Xenopus tropicalis: one gene and its partners. The protein of the gene in region 4 purifies or fractionates together with the protein of the main gene of each other region. This does not show direct contact. Links are inferred from orthologs where the notes say so. Each region holds a gene or a part of one and is shown on either strand. Other genes may lie near its edges.

Region 1 (4,059 bases), on a different chromosome or scaffold from region 4:
ACCCCTTTCTTTAAATCCCTATTGGATTTTTAGACAAGTATTTATCAATGGGTAAAAGTTGGAGTTTACCATTTTATAAATATGCTTTTAAAATGCCATAAAACTAATAGAAATGGGGGGGGGGTTCTGTCATTAGCTTACTATTTTTATATAACAAAGCTTTTAAACATGTATTTGATTAGATTATGATCCCGCAACTTGAAAGACTGAAGAAAGGTCTACTCTACAAGAAAAAATATGATTACTTTGAACAAACTAAATGTAGTGGATTGCTTGTGTTTAGTCAGTTAAGGGGATATTCAGGTTTTTAAGCCATATTCTTAAACAACCATTTGTTTCATATAAATCAAATTTTTAATTTATTATCGTTGAAAATATGTATCGTTTTTAGTTAGACGCCTAGTTATTTAGCGAATCAAAGTGAAACAGTCCTACAGGTGCGGATGCTCTCTACGAAGTTCGGAATATTGCAGCACAATTAGACGACAGTGCGCAAGAGCTTCCTTTTTATGGTCATTTGCATATCAGTGACCTGATTTGCAGTTGTTAGCAGCTACTTGGATAAAGGACATGCATATAAACATGAAGAAAGAGGGTTATGTGCAACATTGCCGCAACATTGGGCTACAGATTTACAGCATTCTGAATAACCAACAGGAGGCAGAGGAGTGCTGACACAGCCAGGGTGTCAACAATCCCATGCAGAGTTGGTTTGAAGAAATACTATGGGACTACGTATGTTTTTAATGACAGAACTTTGCAAATATGTTTTACATAAAGAAACTGATTGTTTAACATTGTGTCTTGTAAAGGTGACATCCCCTTTAAGTTTTTTATTTACACACAATACTTACTACTCTGCAAACAAATGTTTTGTTCCCTAACTCTTTATATCTTTTCCTTTAGATAATAATTGTGGAGTTTGGAGGAAAGCCATTCAGTTGCTCTGGCCTTACTTTGTCACAGTGGTTCTGGTGTATCTTCATTGGGGTTGGAGAGCTGTTGTGGGGACAGGTTGGTGTGTCTCTAATGTGTTTTTGTAGCATGCCATTCCATGCCAGGTACCACTACATCATATAGCGGCATTCTTGACGTGTGGCATTTTTGACATGTGCTTCCTAGTGTGGGGAGGGCCCATTCCTGTTTAAACAGTATAAAAGCATTATGTGAAAAGTAAGGTCTATACAGAAGTGGTTTGCTGAAATGGAGTGGAGGATCTTAACTGGCCTGCACAGACCCTTAACCCAAGAGGACACAGGTGGGATGAAATAGAATGGAATGGAAATTAAAGCTCAGCCTGGTAACTGAACATTGCAGCTCAGCCACTTACATTTAAATCTCCACCAAGAGCAATGGTTAAAGTTTCTTTTGACAGCAAAGAGAGGACCAATTTCTTATTAATACCCTTTGTTTTGTATTGGATGTTGGACTGTTGGGTGTCCACATACATTTGACGATATAGTATACCCTCATATCATTCATAACTTTTAATACAGCTTTTTATTTGCGCCTTCTTTTTTTTTTCTCTGCTTACTATATATAATTTCCTTAATACTACAGATGATTTGCACAATACCCACCAGCCGACTCAAGTTCCTAAAAGAGGCTGGCCATGGGCCACTGAAGGAGGACATTCAGCAGGAGGAACTTACAGAGGATGTAGATGAGATTGACCATGCAGAAATGGAGCTTAGGAGAGGCCAGATTTTGTGGTTCAGAGGCCTAAACCGAATACAGACTCAGGTATATACATTTTATGACCTATGCCTTTGTGAAGTCCATGGTATAAAAAGATAGACATAACATGGAAAATAGGAGATCTCACAAACATTGATGGAGGAATTTCTACATAAACCAAATATTGTGAAAACCCTACTACACCTTGTATATTAGTAGCCACCCCTAAATTATTAAATGTTGCAGAACAAAGTTGTTACAACTCCAATATATTCACAAAACCCACAGACAGGGAAGAACCACATGATACAAAATATTTAGAATATGCTATCTTTATATATTACCTTTTATTATTGTATTTTATTGTGGGAAGTACATTTTACCCCTATCTGACGATTTAGTGCTAAAATGCTTGCCTTTGCTCGGGCGCCTTTGAAGGCTTGATCTTTGAGACAACCGATATTCAAATCCTTTGCCAATATTGATAACCTCGTCTTCTGCCATACACACACCAAATATTGTAAGAAACAAAATATTGGTGCATGTATGGCTACCTTTAGAAAATGAAATAAAAGATCTGAATGGTTGCTATGGGCAACATCACTGGTGACTCCAATGTTAGTACACACTCAATTGTCAATTGCTTCCACCAGCAAACTTGATATCCAAGATATCTACATTAATGTTCGTATATATTTATCTGAGCCATCAGTCTTATATAGCCTGTCCGCAAACAAGCAAGCTTCATCCCAAGAAAGAAGATATGTTATTAATTGAGCCTTCACTTATTGCCCTATTTTCATTGTTTGGGCAACATAAATCTGAATGTAAATCTGTTTAAAAAAAATTCAACATATCCATGTTAACAATCTATTTCAGTATCATTAAAAAAAGTAGCTTTTGGCAGAGAGCCCATAAAGTTAACAAGCCACACTTGATCTTAGATACAGTTGTAAATAATAAGCTTAACAAGTCTCTTGGGGAAACTGAGACTTGCAGCTCAAAGGGCAATTTCACCTTTTTTAGCAAAACTGTAATATCACAAAACAAGACCACAAAACCCCCAGAAATGAGTTCAAACTTTAAAAAACCTGCCAAATTTTGTAAAATGCGAGTGGTATTTAGGCTGTGTGGGTGCAAAAATTAGCGTTGTCAAAACATTTTTGCCACGCTGCAAGCAGCATTTCCTTTTGTCCTTCTTTGCATTTTTTAAATGTTGGGAGGTATGAGTATTATGTCCTTTAAAAAAGAAAAGATCAAATTAAGATATTTCAGCAAATACTTGTGGTGTAGTATTTATACTTACACAAATCCCTAAAAGTACTTTTGCCACTTGAAAACAAAATAAATTGTCCTGGATCTTTTCTACAGATGCAGAAACATCCACACTTATCTGGTCAGACCAAACATTGCTTTTTTTGTGGTGTTTCTCAAAATGTGGTGTTTCTCAGTCTTTTTCTCATACCCTTTTTGTTTTATGTGAAATTTTTGCAATCAGTGTTTCTGTTTCCTGGGACTTCAGTCAGTGTGTGTGGAACACACTAATTACATCTGCACCTGTAAGTCACTGGTTTAAAAATGTGTTTTGGCTTTTTTTAACTCCTTACATTGTAAATGAATATGTACACATTGCCTTCAGATGCCTTATTTTAAAGGAAAATGGTTGCTTCTTAAAGCATTTTTTCCTGAATAGATATGTTGTAGATCTATTTCAGCTGACTAAATGAGGGAGTGTGTCATTTAATGGGAAATGCTTTATTCTAAAAGCTATTAGGGTTTAAAGTAGTATTTTTGTCAATATGCAGCTGCTTACTGTACTATGTCTTACCAGTTTAACCAGGAAGATCTTTTTTACAGGCTTTGGGAAAATAGCTACACAAGATTTGATTTTTTGATAAGAACTTGGTGCTGGGAAATGGAATTACTTTTGAATTAGCATCTGCAGAAAAAAACATACCTCATATTATCTGGAAGAGCTATTTGCTTTTTCTTTAAATAGGAGCAATTTAATGTCATTTTAATGTTTTTAGGGTGTAATAGTTTGCCATAAACATCTCAGATTAATGGAGTTGGCTGTAGACTTTTGTTTAAGCCCTCCAACGGGATGGATCAGCTTTTTATTAACCTTCAGTCATTTCACTGTTCAATAAAATTGGGTTAAACTTTCATCTTGAAAACTCTGTTGTTAAAATGAATAACATGTTTTCCTTCTGTGATCTGCTTTTCTAATAACATTTGTTTCTATTCCAAAGTGCTGTTTTTCTTTCCCTTGAACGTACCTGTTACAACCATTATTTATTTCTCTACTACTATTTTTTTCTTTTCTTCCTTTTGTCTCCCTCATCTTATGATGTCCCATTTGTTATTTTGGTCATTATATCA
Region 2 (4,635 bases), on a different chromosome or scaffold from region 4:
TACAATAGACTGCATGCTAACCTTAGTCTTTTCTACTGTAGACCGTTTTCCCTTTATAGCAATACTTGAAATTCCATGATAATTTGACTAATTCCATTTAACATAGGCTTGCATTCCATAGGCCATTTAGGCTATAGAACATAAATGTGGCTGCTTGATAAAGAAACATGCCATTTGACTAGTAAAGGTAATATCCACAGACTCAGATGGACAAGGCAGACTGATTGCTACTCAGGTTAAGGCAGGGACCCCCAACCAGTGGCTCGGGAGCAACATGTTACCCACCAACCCTTTGGCTTTTGCTCCCAGTGGCCTCAAACAGGTGCTTATATTTGAATTCCTGGCTTGGAGGCAAATTTTGGTTGCAAACAGACCAGCCTGTAGGCTGCCAAATAGCCAATCACAGCCATAATTTGGTACCCCAGGTACATTTTTAATGCTTGTGTTGCTCCCCAACTTTCACATTTTAACCGTCTCACAGGTATAAAAGACTGGGGAGCCCTGGATTAAGGACACGCAGATTAGAAGGCTGGCCCTGGCATGACCTGACTGGGGAGTAGACACCACAGGGAAGTGCCGAATACAAAGATGCCTGGTTGCAGCACAGAACACATCTCCCACTTCCTGGCTATTTATGAAGTGTTGATCCCTTGCAGATGCCTTGAGACTTTATGAAGACAAACAATAAACTGCTGCCAAGAGTCCAAGCCTGACACCACTAGACGGATGGTTTGTAACTATATTGCACTGCTCGTCAGCATACAAACCTTAACCTGGCCATACATGCACAGTACTGACCGAGCCCCTTCTTGTATGGTCACTCACAGCACCCATCCGTATTACTGACCAGCACATGGCCATTTCTGGGGGATTGGGGGGGCGGCATTACCCAGGGCACATAACTACCTTCTGTTGTCCGATACCCCACTGTAGCTTTTATGCCCTTAATAATGCAGCATGGCATATGCAAGAGCATTAATATTTAACCATGAGAGGGGACAGGCATGCCAGGCAGTTCATTGTGCAAGATGTAATAAAGTTAAAGTGAACCTTATTACATCAGCAGGAGTCGTGCCCTTGCTTAGGCAGGAGACCAACGCATTTGGTGCAGTGTTGCTAGCCCTGCATACCAGTGTTAGAGGGGGAACCATGGCACAAAGATGGCAGGAAGGCAATGCCTATGCTTGATTATGGCAGACCACCACCACGTGAAGCAAAAAAAGGCTCATGCAGGGGAAGGATTAACATGACTGCAGAACTGAAAATGCCTTATATGGCTTCAGTTACGTCGCTATAAGTCTATAAATAGCAGATTTAACCCCTGTATGAAGCGCAGTAAGTGCATGCAGATTGGACACCCTGGGACAGAGAAACCCATGCAGCCACAGTTCTGTACATAGTAATATAAAGCATTTACCATCCCCTATATAGCCATCAGTATGCACTATATCTACCATATAACATACACACCATGTGGATTTGCTGGCTCAGGCACTGCAGTAAGAAAGGGAGAGGGGCCTGCATGCCACCAAGGGGACAGTAACCCTGACAGCACCTCACGTACTTGCCCCTCAGCTCCAATCCCTTTAGACACAAACCATGCAGAGCGACTACATCAGCTTTCCCCTGGCACCAATACACAATGGCATTACCCATGCACCCAACATGCACTGCTGGGGCCCCTAAAGCACTCCCTGCATTAGCCTGAGGGAACAATAAGCCCTCACTGACAGGCTTTGTGCATAAAGCCTTTAGGCCAGGCAGCAGGTGTATTTCCCACAGAGCGGTGTCTCCTCGCTAGGGCACGGCGTGATTAAAGCCCTTTGAATTCTACACTAAATATACCCGCCATGCCCACACCCCAGCAAGTGGGGCATCCCACAGGGCACACCTACCCCGCACTAACACAGGGCTGAGCAGCTCAGCAACCAAGCAGACATTTTGAGAACAAGAAATCTTCACATTACTTGATTTCTTCTAAAATGGATTCCTCCTCCCCCTCCATAGAAGTGACACACGGGAGGCGGGCTCTCCCAGCCAGCGAATAAAGGGCCTAGTATAGTAAGACCTAGCAACAGACATTCACTTGTACCATATTTACAGTAAATGATATATAGCCACCCTCAGCAGCCCCCAGCTCTTGCACCAACATGTGGCAGAACTACCCTCCCTGTACTTGCCTCCGCTAGGAATGCTGGGAGCTGTAGTCCGACCATTTTGCCCAATACGCTGCCCAGCGGATGTATCACAGCCATAACTATCAAACAGCGAATGAACTCGCTGCACAGCAGGACATGATACATTAGTGATACAGTTACATTGTCATTTTCTTTATATTAACGACTAGAAGGCGTCAAGTTACCCCCCCAACCAAGAGCCTAGTGTATCACGTGACACCGAGGAAACATGTATGCGGTAAGAATAACGCTGCAATACAGCCAGCAGATTCACCCGGGGCTGGGGGAGACGGCCAGACCCGCAGCGCAGTGACGCCCCCGCACCATGCAGCAAACAATGGAACCCCCCCCGGCCCATTCCATCGTGTTACAGTCATGTGACCGGCTCACCCCATCGCTCCAGCTAGCCCCAAGCACCCATGGGAGCCGCACTCACACACACAGGAACATGGCACACGCAAAGAAAGTGCAACCGGACTCTATCAAACCAGCAGTTTCTGACATTCTCACAAATGGCGCCAAGACTTAATGCCACCCCCCTCCCCCGACAGTAAAGAGTCTACTCTCATTACCTCCATGATAATACGGCCCATCGGGCAGCCATCAACGGCGATGTCGAAAAAGACCCTGGGTAAAGCCATAGTGCAGAATGAAAATAAACAGTGCCTTGCCGTGAGCGCAACGTGCAGCTTCCTAACCCCCTGAACTCTAAACAGCCCAAGAGAACCACGGAAAAGAGCTTAAAAACGGAAGCGGGGCTGATATTATATGAGAAGCTTGGCCCCGCCTGGCATCGTTTAAGGGAAACACACCAATAGAATGGTTCCATGGTACTGATTGACAGCGCGGCGGGCCAATAGTAGGCTGCAGGAGAGCTCATAAGGTGTGGCACAGAAGCGCGGGAGTCCTGGGCGCGGCCTGTAGAGGTGCGGTGAGGGCCGGTCCGGCTGTGACGCGGGGAGTGGCTGCCTTCGCTTTGGGCTATAACTCAGGGTTAACACTATTCAGCGGATAGGGTAATCCGGCATGCATTTGTGGCTTTATACGACATTGCTGGAAAGCGTTCTTCATAACGTATAGCTGATGAATGGCTAATAGTAAGTGTAATAGCTAGTTCTGGCAAGCCCTTCAACATACTTCTTTCTGTAGGTGCACTAAAAAAATTTGCAGCGTTGCAGTAAAGTGAGAGTGGACTGCAGCGAACCAAACCCGGTGTAATAGGGATTTTGAGTGTTTTTGTCGCCTGAGCGTTTTGTAACTCAGCTGTTACCTTCTGGAGCACTGAAACATTATTTTGCCCAGTCCTGCTCTTAAGGGCAAATGCCCATACCTGGTGCACTCTTACCTTCCAGTTTGTGCCTGTATGTTACCCAACCACTCAGATTGTAAGCTCTACGGGGCAGGGACCTCCTTCCTACTGTGTCTCATACCACATGGCACTTATATATATATAGATATAGATATATATATTTATTGTATTTATTTATTATATCACTTGTCCTCCCTGTGTGTAATTTTGTATTCTGTAAGACTGTACAGCGCTGCGTACCCTTGTGGCACTTTATAAATAAAGTTATACATACAATGGCGATACAGCATTATAAATTGCTTTCCATTAATTCGAGAGGCATTTGCCTGCTCAGTGCTGAGGTGATTACTGCTCCAAAGCGTCTCTTAGTTATAATTGCTTGAGCTTAATAAGAGGTAAACAAGGACAATGCTTAACTGCTTTGACGCCCATCTATAGAGCTACAAAATAGGGGACAAAACGTGCAGATGTGACCCATGTGGCGACCGTAAAATAAAGTGATAGGTGTGTTTATAAATGTAGAAGCCAGGTGGCCACCGGTGATTCCCATTGACATTGATGGTGTTTTGAAGCATTTCATTTTTTATCTTACCAGGAAAGCAAGACCTACTAAACCTACACGCAAACAACTAGGGGCAGATTTATTAGGACATGAACGCTCGGAGCGTATTTTCGCCGAGTTTTTCGTACGCTTGCGCGAAAAAATCAGAAAGGTTTTCCCGCTGTTTACAATCGTTCGGTATGAAAATTTAGTGACTTTCGGATCACCAATACAATATTATCATGACTAATACAATTTTTTCGTAAGCATTTTCGTGATATTTGCGATCTTCAGAAATTATAGTATCCAATCCGAATTTTTCTCATTCGGGATTCGAACGCTTGAATGGTCCCCCTAGGGTTGCCATATTTAATAATAATATACCTGCCTTTTCATCTGTATTTTTATGGGTTTTACAGTCAAGCATTGTTTTTAGCAGCCAGGGTGGTATAATACCAAGCTGGTGGCAATCCTAGCTACCGCCAACCCCTCTGTGAATATCGTAGCCTGGCATTTCGTATTGGGCCTGTGGCCTATTTTGTACCTTAGCTGACCATGGGACACAATTTCTTACTGAAAGCAGCTTCAGGTGTGACAGGACCCAAATA
Region 3 (4,059 bases), on a different chromosome or scaffold from region 4:
ACTAATTCATGCTCCCCTTGGAGGGCTGTATATAATTAAAAACTCTCAGTTATTTAAGTGCAGATTCTTCTTACCCTGTGTTAGGAGAAAATGAAGAGTCAAATGTCAGCTTCAGACCCTTTGCAAGCTAAAGAGAAAACATATTATGTATTTAAATTGTAAGACATATCTTACTCACAAGTTCCAGAGTTAAATTATCTCAAATTAGGATATTTACCTGGTCTTCTACAGTGATCTCTGTCCCTAATGTGTTATCTGTATTCCACTTTTCTGTGAAAGTAAGGCCATATTCTGCCCATTTGTATTTGGTTTCCAAGCTGCCAGCAACTTTGTTAGTCTCTGCATTCGCTGATCCTGAGCTTGTAAATTCCTGTAAGTCAGAGAAGTATACACACAATATTCTGTTACTGGAAGTTGTGTAATCATGGTTCCACATGGTGCAATCCTTTTTCTGTTCACTGACGCCTATCAAACGTGAAGTGACTTGATTCCTTCGCTTATAGTGGTACACAGAACTACATGTATTAGTTGCAATATATACAATAGTTGCAATATACTTTACCTGCTGCTAATAACAGAATTATGTTAAATATGTGTCAAAAACACCATGCAAGCAGGTAATATTAGAGAATGTTATGGAAAAGCACTAAGGCACAAGGTGAGGTAAACAACCTGAAATGATTTGTGATGTTTTAAGGGTGTAATAAGAAGCGGATGTGAAAGAACTAAGCAACAGGATGTTACCACAATCATGTGCTTGATATAAAAAAAACTGCTTTATCTTCTACTAAAATAATTTGCACTTGCATTTGTCCCCAATTACAGCAGAATGACAGCTTGGAAGAACAGCCTGTAGGAAAATTTACATGGATTATATAGAAAATATCACAAAACTGGAAACCACTGGCAATTGTTTGTTGCAATTTCTTGTGACTGTGGCTTTACAATAATACAGACACATGTACAAATAATGTACTGTGGAATTGTTTGTTTTAGGTTGATGAGTTTATTTTGAAAGTGCCATTCAATAATAAAATAAAATAAAAACTTACACAGCATTTTGTTCAGTAACAAATATGGAATTACAAACAGTATTATGCCCACTTACTAACTATAAAGAAGCTGTAGCAGAGACAATGTTTTGTTTAGGCAATATAGATACCACTCATATGCAAGAGTGTTGCCATGCAACCTATTTAGACTTACCAGTCCGTTTTCTGATTTCGTTTTCAAATCAAGTTTAATGAACCCAAATCCTAAAAGACAACAAAAACAGTAGAAACCAGAAGACTATAAAAACAGGCATAATCAATAGAAAAGTTACAAATTCACAGCAAAATACAACAGGATCATTCTTTGCAGTTTCAAAAAGCTGTAACTTTCTATCCTATGTGGTTAGTAACCCTCAGCAGCAAATTTTAAATAAAACCCCAAAAATGTTCTTTCACCTTGCAAAAACATTTTTGGGTAGACAACCCTTTTAAAGCTTAGGCTGAATTTAATCTAATAAAGCAACCTAACCTGCAAGGAAAGGTCAATGATACCTTCAGATTTAAATACAACCCTTTTTTGAATTTACAAAGAAAGCCAGCACTAAAACATTCGTAAAATTTTCTTCGGCAGTAATGCATTAAAAGAGATCTAAAGTCTCAAAATAATTTCTGCATTATACGAAAGTAGGCACAATTTATTCTGCAATGAGTATAAAGACAGGCTTGTATCATGGCACTGAGCATGTTAAAACTGGCTGCGCCAGAGTGATCTAGCCTGTTTTAACAGCCAGTCTCGCCCTAGGCTGAGGAATATAGATCAGCAGCAAGAATAAGCCAATCACAACAGAGAAACCATTCTTCTTTGTGAAAGCTCTGTTTGCTTCATTAACTATGGCTACACATCCATAACCCTTTAACCCTCACCCTGCCAGACTCTACTCTAGATACTTACCATATCCTTTAGTGAAGATGTCTCGGGCAGACTTTCCTAAATCAGCATATGCCGGAGGTATGGCCATTTTCTGTTGGCCAAAAAGAAAAAAAACATTCAGATAAATGAAATTTTTTTATTACAGGATAATACACAAGTTCCTTAATATGAAATATCTGTAGGCCTGTGCCAAAAAGGGTTAATTTTGGGATGGGAGAGCAAATTTGTTAGGCACCCCCCAGTGATTATAATCGCTTATATCAATTTTAGTGCACACTGTGCCTCCATCTTGCCTTCTGTGCCAGGGATCCCTTGCAGCTGCCATGGGCTCTGCACATGTGCTGTGAAGTTAAACTGGAACTTAGAGAGTAAGAGCTGAATCTTACTCTATAGAACATGGGTCCCCAACCCTTTTCACCCATGAGCCACATATAGATGCAAGATGTAAAGCAACACAAACATGGAAAACGTATCCCCTATGATGACTGGCAGCTTACACAAGGCTCTGTCTTGTAAGACACATGGGTTTTTATTCAACTGAAGCTTGCCTTCAAGCCAGGAATTAAAAAATGAGCACCTACTTTGCTGCCCTGGGACCAACATCCAAGAGGTTGGTGAGCAGCATGTCACTCCTGAGCCACTGGTTGGGGATCACTGCTATAGAGCATAAGCATGGGACAGTGCAGCTATAAGGCACAGGGATAGGAAACAAGATGGCAGCATTGCACACACTAGAAAAGTAAACTGGCCCTGTCTGCTTTTCAGCAAAATATAGTACCCCCAGTACTTAAGCCATTCTTTACAATTTAAACGATTACTGCTGAAACAATTGATGAGCAAAACATTATTTATCACTCAACTACACTGTAGATTTTCCACACCATGTCTCAGTTGCTGTATTGCTAAGCAGTATGGCAAAAGGGGCCACTTTTAACCCAGAGTTTATTCTAGGCTTTTTTCAAGCTGCTGCACACACGGCAGCATACGCTATACTTACAGAGCATTCAGTGCTGCATTACAGATGCAGGGAGTCACGTTTGCATTGCTATAATGAACTGCAAAGCATCATAAAACCAAAGTCATATGGAGATGATTCTCGGACAAGCCTAGCATATCCAAGCAGACTGTCAACACAGATTCATCATGCAAGCATGGCTGCCTGTGGCTGGGGCCATGTGGGTAATCTTAAACCTCTTATATTCTTCTGGTATAACCTAGATTATCCACACTGAGCACACTTACTCTCAAAATATATGTGGTTCTTTAAAGGTAAAATGATATTTACATAACGTTTTTTCAACAGTGGGCATTGTTAAAGGACCGGTAATATAAAAGATTAGAACGATTCATTTGAATTTACATTCAATTTTTTTATAATGCGTATAAATATAAAATTATGCTGGTTTAACTGCAGTGTGTTTGCTATCAGCTCTGCTATGTTTCATGTAAATTATGTGCCCTTATGTACAGCGCTACAGAATATGTTGCCACTTTATAAATGAATATAATAACGCATTCTCTAAATAAACAATAAACCCCCTCCTGGACTATTTAGTTCAGTAGCCTTAGCTCATTGATGCATGAGGCCAAACAAACTGATCATAACTAGGGCTTATGCAGACCCATTGGGAGAGACCTACATCCGTAAATTCCTTGTCTGATGGGTTCTTTAATCCAATATCCAGCCAGATATGGAAAAGGCGAGCAATTTGGCCATGTAAACAGCCAATAACCAGCAGTCTTTATAAGCCAAACTAGCAGCTAATATCAGCTGTGTGTGTATGCAATACCTTAGATGTTGGGGGACCAAACAAGTTTTTGCCAAAAGATAACATCCTTTTTTTTTTTTAAGACCTTTTTTTTTATGCAGGTATATAAAGAGTTCTGCTCCTTATTTTCTGTTCTTTCCTTGTTCCTCTAACCTATTTCTGTTATATGACTCCTATATGGCTTCCCTGCCAAAATTCTTATTTCTATTATTAACATGTATTTATAAAGTTCCAACACATTCCGCAGCACTGTACAATAAATGGATTCATACACCAGACATACAGAATTACAGAGAAAGCAACCAATACAAGAGGTAAAAAGGGCTGAACTAACAAATAAACCTTCCATTAAGCCTTAGACTGGCTT
Region 4 (4,776 bases):
GTAGCAGAAAAATTATCCTCTAAACATTATGTTGATATAGTATAAATAAGACAGTGAAACCCCTAGGTAGCCTGGGGACTGTCAACATTTCTAGAGGGTTACATTACATTAATCCTAAAGGCCTACAGCTGTACAACCCTGATAAGGAAAAAATATCACGTGCACACCAAGGCCTCTATGTACTGTATGCTTGGTGCTCAGTTTATCAGTAGCTGACATTCCCCCCCAAAGAATCACTCAAAAGTAAGGCTACTGTCACACAAAGCTAATCCGAGGGAGTCTAGCCCTTAAATGTATATTAAATAAGCTATACAGTCCTGCCATGGAGAATCAGATGTCCAGCAGGGAGCAACACAGTTAAAAGTTTGCAATGTCTGAAATATATAGTCAGGGACAGCTTTTGAAATACAGTAAATAAGTATGCTTAAAAATTAATATATCTGGAGGCATATCATGATCCTGGGTCCTTTAACAAAAAATAATTTTAAGCCCTCTCCACCCTGCAAATGATCCTAAGAAGGAACAGTTTTCCCTGGCCTCCCCACAGCTGTGGGAAATTCACCCCAATAATTATATCACTGCAATATACGCTTAATGTTTTTATTGCACCTGGTGCACATTTTTTTGTACAGGCTGCCTTCTATCCTATTGCTAGGCATACACATGCCAATATTGCCACTCCTGACCAAGTCTACAGCATAATGGCTGCAACAGCCACCCCAGCTGTGATTTGACTGGAGTTTTAAAACCACTTGGCCCACCACATAGGAAAGGTATCTGCTTGTTTCGCAAATATGTCTTTATTTAGCTGTTTATTTTCTTTGGACTGCCAGAAATTACTCCCTACAATGTAGCAAAAGCTAACTGATTAACAGTTAGCAGGCCTATAATAAAGAACTAGTTTTATGGGGGTGTAATAATAAGTGAAACTCAAACAAATACAGTATATAAAGTTCATATTTGGCTTTAATTTATGGGGCCAGCCTCTAATAACTATTATCAATTTGCCTAAGTGGAGATATTTTAAACTCCCGACCTCTAGTGCCCTTGGGAGGGCAGAAACATGCACCTGTTCTTATAAAGCAACAATACCAAAAATGTGTCACGCAATAAAGACCTTAAAATGTGCGTCCTAAACCCACGTTCAAAGTGCATAATGCATGTGATAATTTAAGGCTCTAACAAGAGAATCTTTCAACTCAGGATAGACTAGAAAAAAATATAATAACACTGAAGTGCTGAGGGCGTGGCCGCCATTTTGGTGAGAACGCTTCCGCAACGACATTCGTGTGTACGTGCTTAGCTTGTGGTATACAGCCCTGTTATTACACTGTTTCTGTGTCACCATCCTATTTAACTCAATCACGCCCTAGAATATTATGGTTACACATAATAATGATGAAACCATAACTAGATTATATAAACATATAACATGGTATAAGGGGGCCCATATATCATAATTTATATCTAATTTGCAACAGATAAATAACTATAAAACTGAAATCTATCACTTGGAAAACCGCAAACCCCAAATCGCTATTTTCATTACCAACTATCCCTATAATACAGCTGATGGCAAGGCAAGCGGCAGACCTCTAGGTAAAGAAGGACTACATTTCCCAGAACTTGCCAGTAGAAATTGTAGTTCATTGACTGCTGACAATTTTAATTGGTGGCCTTCGTATTCTACGGCATAGGAAAACGCGAAAGCGAGGCGTGGGAAGCATGAAGCCACGCCTCCCAGGCGGCAATAAATGATCGTGTGATTCTAGGAGGTGTTAGTTGGCTGGGAGACATAGCTGCGAGGTGATTGAAGGTCTTGCTGATAGACGGCAGGAACATGGGGCTCGGGCTGCTTCTGCTGCCCGCGGTGCTGGCGTTGTTATGTGGGAGAGAAGCTGAGTGTACAGGTAATAAAAAGAACATCGGGGATGCCTGGATAAGCGAGACTATTAGAGAAGCCTTTGGGCACTAGCAATAGTTTGCCCTGCCATGATCCCGTTTTAGGGTTTGCTGTGTAAGGTTGTGTGGGGTATCCGCAGTCGGAGTAGAGGGTGGGGAAGGACGTGGTACAATTGAAGGGCGCCCTGAAGATCTGTTTCATCTGATCAGTTATTTCTGAGGGGGACCTAATTTTTTATTGCTGTAATGGGCTCTTGGCTGACAAAGTGGAAATCTGTTGTGCCAGATACTAAACCATGTGATGGGGTCTCTTATAGGCTGGGGAAAACCGGTATTGGCCTAGTCCGCCTCTAGTAGTGTCTGCGCCATGATTAAGGTACTTCGCTCGCCTAGGTTTTTTTTTTTTTTTTTTTTTTTCGAACACTGGGTTGTTCTTGATTCTTGTCATAGGCACATAATTTGCTTACGAATTAAAAATGCTACGAGTATAGATAGAAATAGATACTATTATATGTATAGATGAGGGACTAATTATATATATATATATATATATATATATATATATATATATATATTAAAAATTTTCATGAAAAGAGGGTATACTGATCTTTCAAGGTAAGGCTTGGAAATGGCTACTTAATAGCTGACATAAATGCTGTTTGAGCTAAATGTATTTGCCTTGTAAAGCATGCAGCTCTAGTCTTTATATTGGTGGTTCCTGAACCAGAAATGTCTAACAAGTCACTTGTATTAGTGTTTCTAGTCTTGTGTTAATTACTAAACACGTTAATGGAATTGATGGTTCCGTTTTACATTTGGCTCTTTTTTTAGTTGGTATTGGTGATTTATTTTGCTTGGTTTTGTAACTCTGCCTTATGGTATTGATAAAGTGCATAATTGCAACTTGTATCAAAGCCAATAAATGAACATGTATTAAATAAGCACCAACATTTTGAGTATATTTGTAACTGTACATGCTTTGTATATTCTACATTGTACCTGAAAGTTGGAGATGTGTAACTTTACTGCAAGTTATGCTTGTTGGTTGTAATCCTTATCGGTATGATCCCTTGTGGTTTTGTGGGGTAGGTACTGATCCCTTTTTGTGCCCTACATTCTTTCTGCAGCTGTGATGGCACATTTAACTCACTAATGGCCACCTATGTGACTGCATGCTGTGGCTGGCGGCTGGCACTTGCAATGTACATGTTTTAAATGGAAATCAGCCATACATTTAAGGTCCCCATACACGGTAAGATCCGCTCGCTTGGCGAGATCGCCAAGCGAGCGGATTTTCCCCCGATATCCCCACCTACGGGTGGGCGATATCGGGGAGCTTGAAGTTAAAAAAAAAAAATAATAATAATAATCCAATCGTTTGGTCCTGGGGCCAAACGACCGGATTATGTAGGCGGCAATGGGGCAGTCGGTTCGGGGACCGCATCAACGAGCCGATGCGGTCCCCGATCCGACTGGATTTTCTAACCTGGCCGATCAATATCTGGCCAATTTCGGGCCAGATATCGGTCGGCCAGCCCACTCGTTTCTGCCCCTACACGGGCTGATAAGCTGCCGAGTCGGTGCCAAGCTTGGCATTTAGGGTGAATACACATGGAGCTAATAGTAGCACCTACTTGTCACAGCTAAAAAAAGACAATGCTGATCATTTACTGATAACTGTATGTTTGTCTGTGTGTTTTTATCAGAGGCAATATTCAGTATTGTCTATGGCAGGCTATTTTGTGGCATTTAGTTGCCTTGACAAGTCACTGCTACAAAGTCGCTCTGTCTTCACCCTTAGGGCAGTGACAGACGGGGAGATCAGTTGCCCCGTGACAAATCTCCCCACAATGCCATCCCACTGGCAAGAATGTAAATCACCGGTGGGATGGCATAGGCATCAGTACGATTTCCAGAAGTTGCTTGAAAGTTGCCCTGAGAGGAAACTTCAGGTGACTTCTGGAAATCTCCCCGTCTGTCACTGCCCTTAGGATGAAGACACGCTGAACTACTAGTAGCAGCTAATTTTTTTTAATGGCTACTAAGCTCCCTAAAATACCCTGCCATACACCATACTGAGAATTGCCTCTGCTAACACAGACAATTATCTGTAAATTATTAGCATTGTCTGTTTTAGTAGCCATGACAAGTAGCTGCTACTAGTAGCTCAGTGTGTCTTTGCACTTAACCCTACCAGGCAGGAGATGGCTTAAATGATATAACAGAACATTGTAATAACTGGGATGGATTTTTCCAAGAAATGCAATATAAGGACTTGATACAAACCTTTTTAGGGCTTTTCTACCTAAGCAAGAAATGACGTTCATTACAAGGCGAATGTCCCCAGAGACTGTTAACACTGAACAGCCTTTGGTTCAGAATAAAATTTGCCATTTTCTCAAATTGGGTGAAAATGGTGATTTTTATCACAGGAATGGTTTAACAGCATTGTTCGTTTGTTCAGGAGCTTATTTGATGGGCCATAGAGTTGCAGTTGTTCTCGCTTCCACACCTGCTGATGCCAAATCAGGTTTTAGCAGATAAGCATTTTAGGTGTGACATATTACAAAATGTCTTGTAAAAACTGCTTTTCCAAGGTGTCATACTGGCTTAGATGGTTGTTGTATGGAAAATGGCAGTGTGGTATGATCCGGTTCTAGAAGAGGCTCAGTGTGATTTGTTTTGTACTAATGGTAGTGGTCACTGATCATTCCTTCAGAAAATATATAACAATTGTCACATGAACTGTGCAATATTTTTTTGTTCTATAAACGTACAATATAAACATTGCACTTGGTGTTTTAGGTTATAGTGGTTTGTGTTTGCAGGTAATTTGTAATGTGTGATGTGCTGGTTTACCCTAAGGTCGGGTAG
Region 5 (4,855 bases), on a different chromosome or scaffold from region 4:
TAACAGAATATACCTTTTTATCATCATGGTGGGCTCCTTCATTATCTTGGATGGATAATGAACACCCAGAAATCCCCCAGGAGAAAAATTCAGTTTCTGGGATTTGTGATAAATTCCCAGAGAAATAGGTTTAGGGTTGAAATTTGAACAACCATTGCAGGTTTGTGTTTGGTGCAGGTCAGACTAGGGAAGTACACTATTCCTCTGCACCCAGTGTTTCTCTGTCTTGGAACCTAAGGCATGCACAGAAGTAGTGTTCATACCAGAAAGGTATGGGTCCAACTATGGCAACATTTTGTGGGTTAGGTTCGGGTGTGGGTTAAGGTTTTTATCAATGATAAAAAAGTCTTTATTAATCCATCATCAAAAGCTGGTCATACACACTAAGATTCGCTTGTTTGGCAAGGTCCCCAAGTGAGCGGATCTTCTCCTGATATCCCCACCTATGGGTGGGCAATATCGAGCTAATTCGGCTGTTTGGCCCTGGAGAATGACGGGTATAGGCATCAACCGGTTCAGGGACCGTATCAACGAGCGGATGCGGTCCCCGATCCAACTAATTTTCAAACCTGCCTGATTGAGATCTGGGTGATTGCAGGCCAGATGCCGGTCGGGCAGGCCCAGCCAATAAGCTGCCGAATCAGTCTAAGGGATCGTTGTCGGCAGCCCGTGTATGGCCACCTTAAAACAGCATTTGCCAACCTTTTATACCAGTGAGCCACATTCAAATAGAAAAAGTTTTTGAAGGCGCCAATGAGAGCCATACAGACCGGTAGCTTTCAGTGACTTTTTGCGATTTTGGCAAATTGCCTCGCGAGGCAACTTCAGCGATTTGCCGAAATCGCCTGTGCAGCGTGTATCATCCCACCAGCGACTTACATGTTCGCCGGTGGGATGGTAGTTCGGGAAGATTAGTCGCGGGCGACTAATCTCCCCGTGTGCCAGAGCCCTTAAAGGAACAGTAACATCAAAAAATTAATGTTTTAAAGTAATTAAAATATAATGTGCTGTTGCTCTACAAAAAACTGGTGTTTTTGCTACAGAAAAGCTACTGTATAAATAAGCTGCTGTGTAGCCATGGGGGCAGCCATTCAAGCTGAAAAAAAGGCACAGGTTACATAGCAGATAACTAGTAGATAAGCCCCATATAATGGGGGTTTATCTGTTAGCTGCTATGTAACCTGTGCCTTTTCGCCTTTGAATGGCTGCCCCCACGGCTACACAGCAGTTTACTTATATAAACTATAGTAGTCTTCTGAAGCAAACACACCAGTTGTAGCAATGCAGGGCAATAGTACATTATATTGTAATTACTTTTATACACTTTCATTTTTTGGTGTTTCTGTTCCTTTAAGGTACAAAGACCTAAAAACGTGACTCAATTTCACCTGGCCCTAGTTTAAACAAAAGCAGTTTGTCTTTTGGTCAAATTGGGAGACACAGCTCTAACAGCCACATGTAGTTTTGCCAACAAGAATAAATGTCTTCTTTCAGTCCCCTGCCACAGGTCCGAGCTCTGAGCAGACAATATAAATGACATCTCAGGAAATATTTGAGCAGAGGCAGGGAGAGCAGGACGGAGAACCAAGATGAAATGAAGTTCTTTATTAGTTCTTTTCTATCAATAGTAGGAGGTGCGAGCAGCAGATAACATGTTGTGAACATGCCTACCACCGCTTTCCTGCAACTTCCGATTTTGTAACGTTGAGTTATGCCGTCCCTCTCCAAAAAGTCGGCTACGTAATGCGTCACCGCGCTTACGTGTAGTCCTGGCGCAAGTCTCGCGTGATGTGACTTGTGGGCCGGGATTTCCTGTAAGACAGGAGGTACGGAGTTTGCAAATAATAGCTTAGGGACCGGTAAATAGCGATCTAGGACTGTGGGCTGTTGGGAAAAGCGGTACTGTTGGGTAGTATGTTTAAATGTTGAATTAGAAAGAGTCGGGGAGTGCTAACGAAGTAGATATTGACAAATCCTCTGTATAAACCAATTATGGACTTTATGCTACAGTAACACAGTTCTCTTACCTTTGCCAGCCGCTAGTCATTGGAACTAATGTACGATTACCTCTGCTAGGGTCACTGTGCTGCTTCTTCTAGTACCTTTCAATTCAAAATCTTATTCGCTTTAGTTCTCTGTAATCCATTACCGGTAGTGGAGTGTACCAATAATGTTAGAAGGTGACATGGACCTTAATATTTATTGGGCGCCTATTTTGCAAAACTGTGGATCCTGCATACATGCAAAGCGTAACTGTAACACCACAACTGAATTCTGATAGGGCAGAAATTGTGTTACCAAAAAGGTTCCTTTTATACCTCCCCCTTCCTTTTGGTAAACGCAGCCTTTTATTTATATGTATCAATGTTGGCCTTATACTAAGGCTCTGGTTATTTGAATTTATCCTTACACCTGACACACACACAACATAAACATATCTGGGCTCCTTCTATTGGGTGCAAGTACACATGAACTGTTTTTATTTTTTTTAAACTAATTTCAATTTTTATCTTTATTTTAGTCACCCATGGCAGTCAGTATGGCATCCCAGTTCTTCTCCCAAGAGGAGGGGACATCAGAAGTTGTATCCACATCTGAGAGGGTAAGAGTGTACTGTACAAACTGGATGTATAACTGGAGATCTATTGGCGATGATATAATTTCATTTAAAGGGTTACAGTGATATATTGTTTTAGATTCTGGTACCTTGTGATTGGGAAGGGGTTGTTAACCTTTGAGTTAACTTTTATTATGCTGTAGAGAGTAATATTCCAAGACAGTTTGCAATTGGTCTTCATTTTCTATTATTTGTAGTTTTTTAATTATTTCAGTGTTTGTTCAGCAGCTCTCCAGTTTGATTTCAGCAGCTATCTGGTTGCTAGGGTCCAAATTACCTTAGCAACCAGGGAGTGGTTTGAATGAGAAACAGGAGTATGAATAGGACTTGAATAGAAAAATAAGTTATTAAAAGAAACAGTAAAATTGTAGCCTCACAGAGCAATAGTTTTCTGGCTGCTGGAGTCAGTGATCCCCATTTGAAAGCTACATGGAGTTAGAAGAAGCTCTGTAGAATACAATAGTGTTTTATCTGTTATCTGCTAAGTGCCTGTGCCTTTTCTCCTTTGAATGGCTGCCCCCATGGCTACACAGCTGCATTCTTTATATAAACCATAGTAGTGATTCTGAGGCAAACACAGTTTGTACCAGTGCAGAGCAGCAGTACATTATATTGGAATTTCTTTTATACACTTGAATTTTTTGGTTACTGTTCCTTTAAATGAGATCCTGGAATATGAATAGGAGAGGGACTGAATAGAAAGATAAGGGAAAAAAGTAGCAAGAATATTAAAACTGTGAGCTCACAAAGCAATAGTTTTTGGCTGTCGGTGTTAGCGACCACCATTTCAAAGCTGGAAAGATGTAGACATGGAAGGTAAATAATTTGAAAACGATAAAAAATGAAGACAAAGGAGCTCCTCATCTTGGATTTTGTTAGATGTGTATGTGACACATGTTAAGTGTGCTCTAGTCAGCTGTTAAAGAATGTTAACCTTTAAATGAATATGAAATTGATGAGAGCTTTAACCCCATTATCCACTTAGAGTGGGGCTACTTCTTAATTCCCCCCCCCCCTTTTTTTTTATTTTCTTCTCTTTTAAAGATAAATGCTGTTTAATACGAAATTGCTTTATTCTGACATCCACTCTATAAAAGTTAAAATGCAAATAAAAATTATTGAAAAGAAATTGATGAGAGCACTATTCTAAGCACTTTTGCACTTAGCATTCATTTTTTCCCCAAGATTTGAAGATATTAAGGAGAATGTGTACTGTTAATTTGAATTCATTTTGTAACAACAGCACTAGCTGCTGGTCTGTTTCCTCCTCTGATGTAGTCAAGGAAATTATTAGGTGAAAGATGGTCGAACATAACTTCTCTTACATCTTTCCAAACATCATCATTTTAATATAATCTGGTCCTCAAACATGAAAATGAGAAATTATTGGCCAACTACATTTAATAAATTAGACAGGACTGCTGTAGTAGAAATCACTGCATGGGCTTAGGACTGCTTCCTGAAAATGATTTTGTGTGAACATGGTTAGTCATTGCATCCACAAATACAAGTTAAATCTCTACCACGCAAAAAAGAAATCATAAATAAACTTGATCCAGAAAAACAGCAACTTTCTCTGGACCCAAGCTTATTTAAGATAAACTGAGTTGAAGTGGTGAAGGCTGATGTGATGTGTCCTGTGGTCTGATAAATCAAAATTTAAAATTCTTTTTGGAAATCATAGATGGTGATCATAAATGGTCCTTCTTTTGGGCTAAAGAGAAGGACAGCCCTGCTTGTTATAAGCACACAGTTTAAAATCCAGCATCCATGATGGTATGGGGGGTGCATTAGTGCACACAGAATGGGTAGTTTGCACATCTTGGAAATTATGTTGAAAGATATATGCAGGTTTTAGAGCAAACTATGCTGCTATTCCGATTATGTTTTTTTTTTTTAGGGAAGACCTTGCCTGTTCCAGCAAGACAATGCCAAACTGCATTCTGCATGTGTTACAACAGCAGTCTAACCCTGTCACCCACTGAAATTTTGCACAGTATGAAATAAAAAATACAACTGCTGAGCAGCTGAAATCCTATATCAGGCAGGGGTTGTTAATAGAAGAGGTGATGCAACACAGTGGGAAACATGCCCCAGTCTCAACCTTTTTAGAACTTGCTGCTGGCATTTAATTCAAAATGAATTTGTCATGTTTAATGGGTAAATCTTACAGCTAACCAGGAACACACTGTAGAATTTACCAGTAAACTCATATATAGGAAGGCTTGCACTGTAATT

What was found.
Region 1: the proteins of bsg (region 4) and plasma membrane calcium-transporting ATPase 4 purify together in Homo sapiens (affinity purification with mass spectrometry; 3 studies listed by BioGRID and IntAct, counting the BioPlex papers as one, with this or other methods). This does not show direct contact. The link is inferred for Xenopus tropicalis from reciprocal best matches to the Homo sapiens genes BSG and ATP2B4.
Region 2: the proteins of bsg (region 4) and ppia purify together in Homo sapiens (affinity purification with western blotting; 4 studies listed by BioGRID and IntAct, with this or other methods). This does not show direct contact. The link is inferred for Xenopus tropicalis from reciprocal best matches to the Homo sapiens genes BSG and PPIA.
Region 3: the proteins of bsg (region 4) and vdac1 purify together in Homo sapiens (affinity purification with mass spectrometry; 3 studies listed by BioGRID, with this or other methods). This does not show direct contact. The link is inferred for Xenopus tropicalis from reciprocal best matches to the Homo sapiens genes BSG and VDAC1.
Region 5: the proteins of bsg (region 4) and sympk purify together in Homo sapiens (co-immunoprecipitation; 3 studies listed by BioGRID and IntAct, counting the BioPlex papers as one, with this or other methods). This does not show direct contact. The link is inferred for Xenopus tropicalis from reciprocal best matches to the Homo sapiens genes BSG and SYMPK.

What each region holds. Positions count from the first base shown.
Region 1 is NC_030678.2:70,209,670-70,213,728, reverse strand, and holds part of plasma membrane calcium-transporting ATPase 4, read left to right. Parts: intron 1-906; coding exon 907-1,014; intron 1,015-1,560; coding exon 1,561-1,743; intron 1,744-4,059. UniProt on the Homo sapiens protein: Calcium/calmodulin-regulated and magnesium-dependent enzyme that catalyzes the hydrolysis of ATP coupled with the transport of calcium out of the cell. By regulating sperm cell calcium homeostasis, may play a role in sperm motility.
Region 2 is NC_030679.2:126,270,755-126,275,389, forward strand, and holds the start of ppia (peptidylprolyl isomerase A (cyclophilin A)), read right to left. Parts: upstream 2,902-4,635; 5' UTR 2,819-2,901; coding exon 2,750-2,818; intron 1-2,749. UniProt on the Homo sapiens protein: Catalyzes the cis-trans isomerization of proline imidic peptide bonds in oligopeptides.
Region 3 is NC_030679.2:22,883,516-22,887,574, reverse strand, and holds part of vdac1 (voltage-dependent anion-selective channel protein 1), read right to left. Parts: intron 2,015-4,059; 5' UTR 2,012-2,014; coding exon 1,945-2,011; intron 1,257-1,944; coding exon 1,207-1,256; intron 371-1,206; coding exon 218-370; intron 128-217; coding exon 75-127; intron 1-74. UniProt on the Homo sapiens protein: Non-selective voltage-gated ion channel that mediates the transport of anions and cations through the mitochondrion outer membrane and plasma membrane.
Region 4 is NC_030677.2:105,652,581-105,657,356, forward strand, and holds the start of bsg (basigin precursor), read left to right. Parts: upstream 1-1,809; 5' UTR 1,810-1,840; coding exon 1,841-1,910; intron 1,911-4,776.
Region 5 is NC_030684.2:70,980,369-70,985,223, forward strand, and holds the start of sympk (symplekin), read left to right. Parts: upstream 1-1,744; 5' UTR 1,745-1,826; intron 1,827-1,830; exon of another isoform or gene 1,831-1,899; intron 1,900-2,027; exon of another isoform or gene 2,028-2,254; intron 2,255-2,521; 5' UTR 2,522-2,527; coding exon 2,528-2,602; intron 2,603-4,855. UniProt on the Homo sapiens protein: Scaffold protein that functions as a component of a multimolecular complex involved in histone mRNA 3'-end processing. Specific component of the tight junction (TJ) plaque, but might not be an exclusively junctional component. May have a house-keeping rule.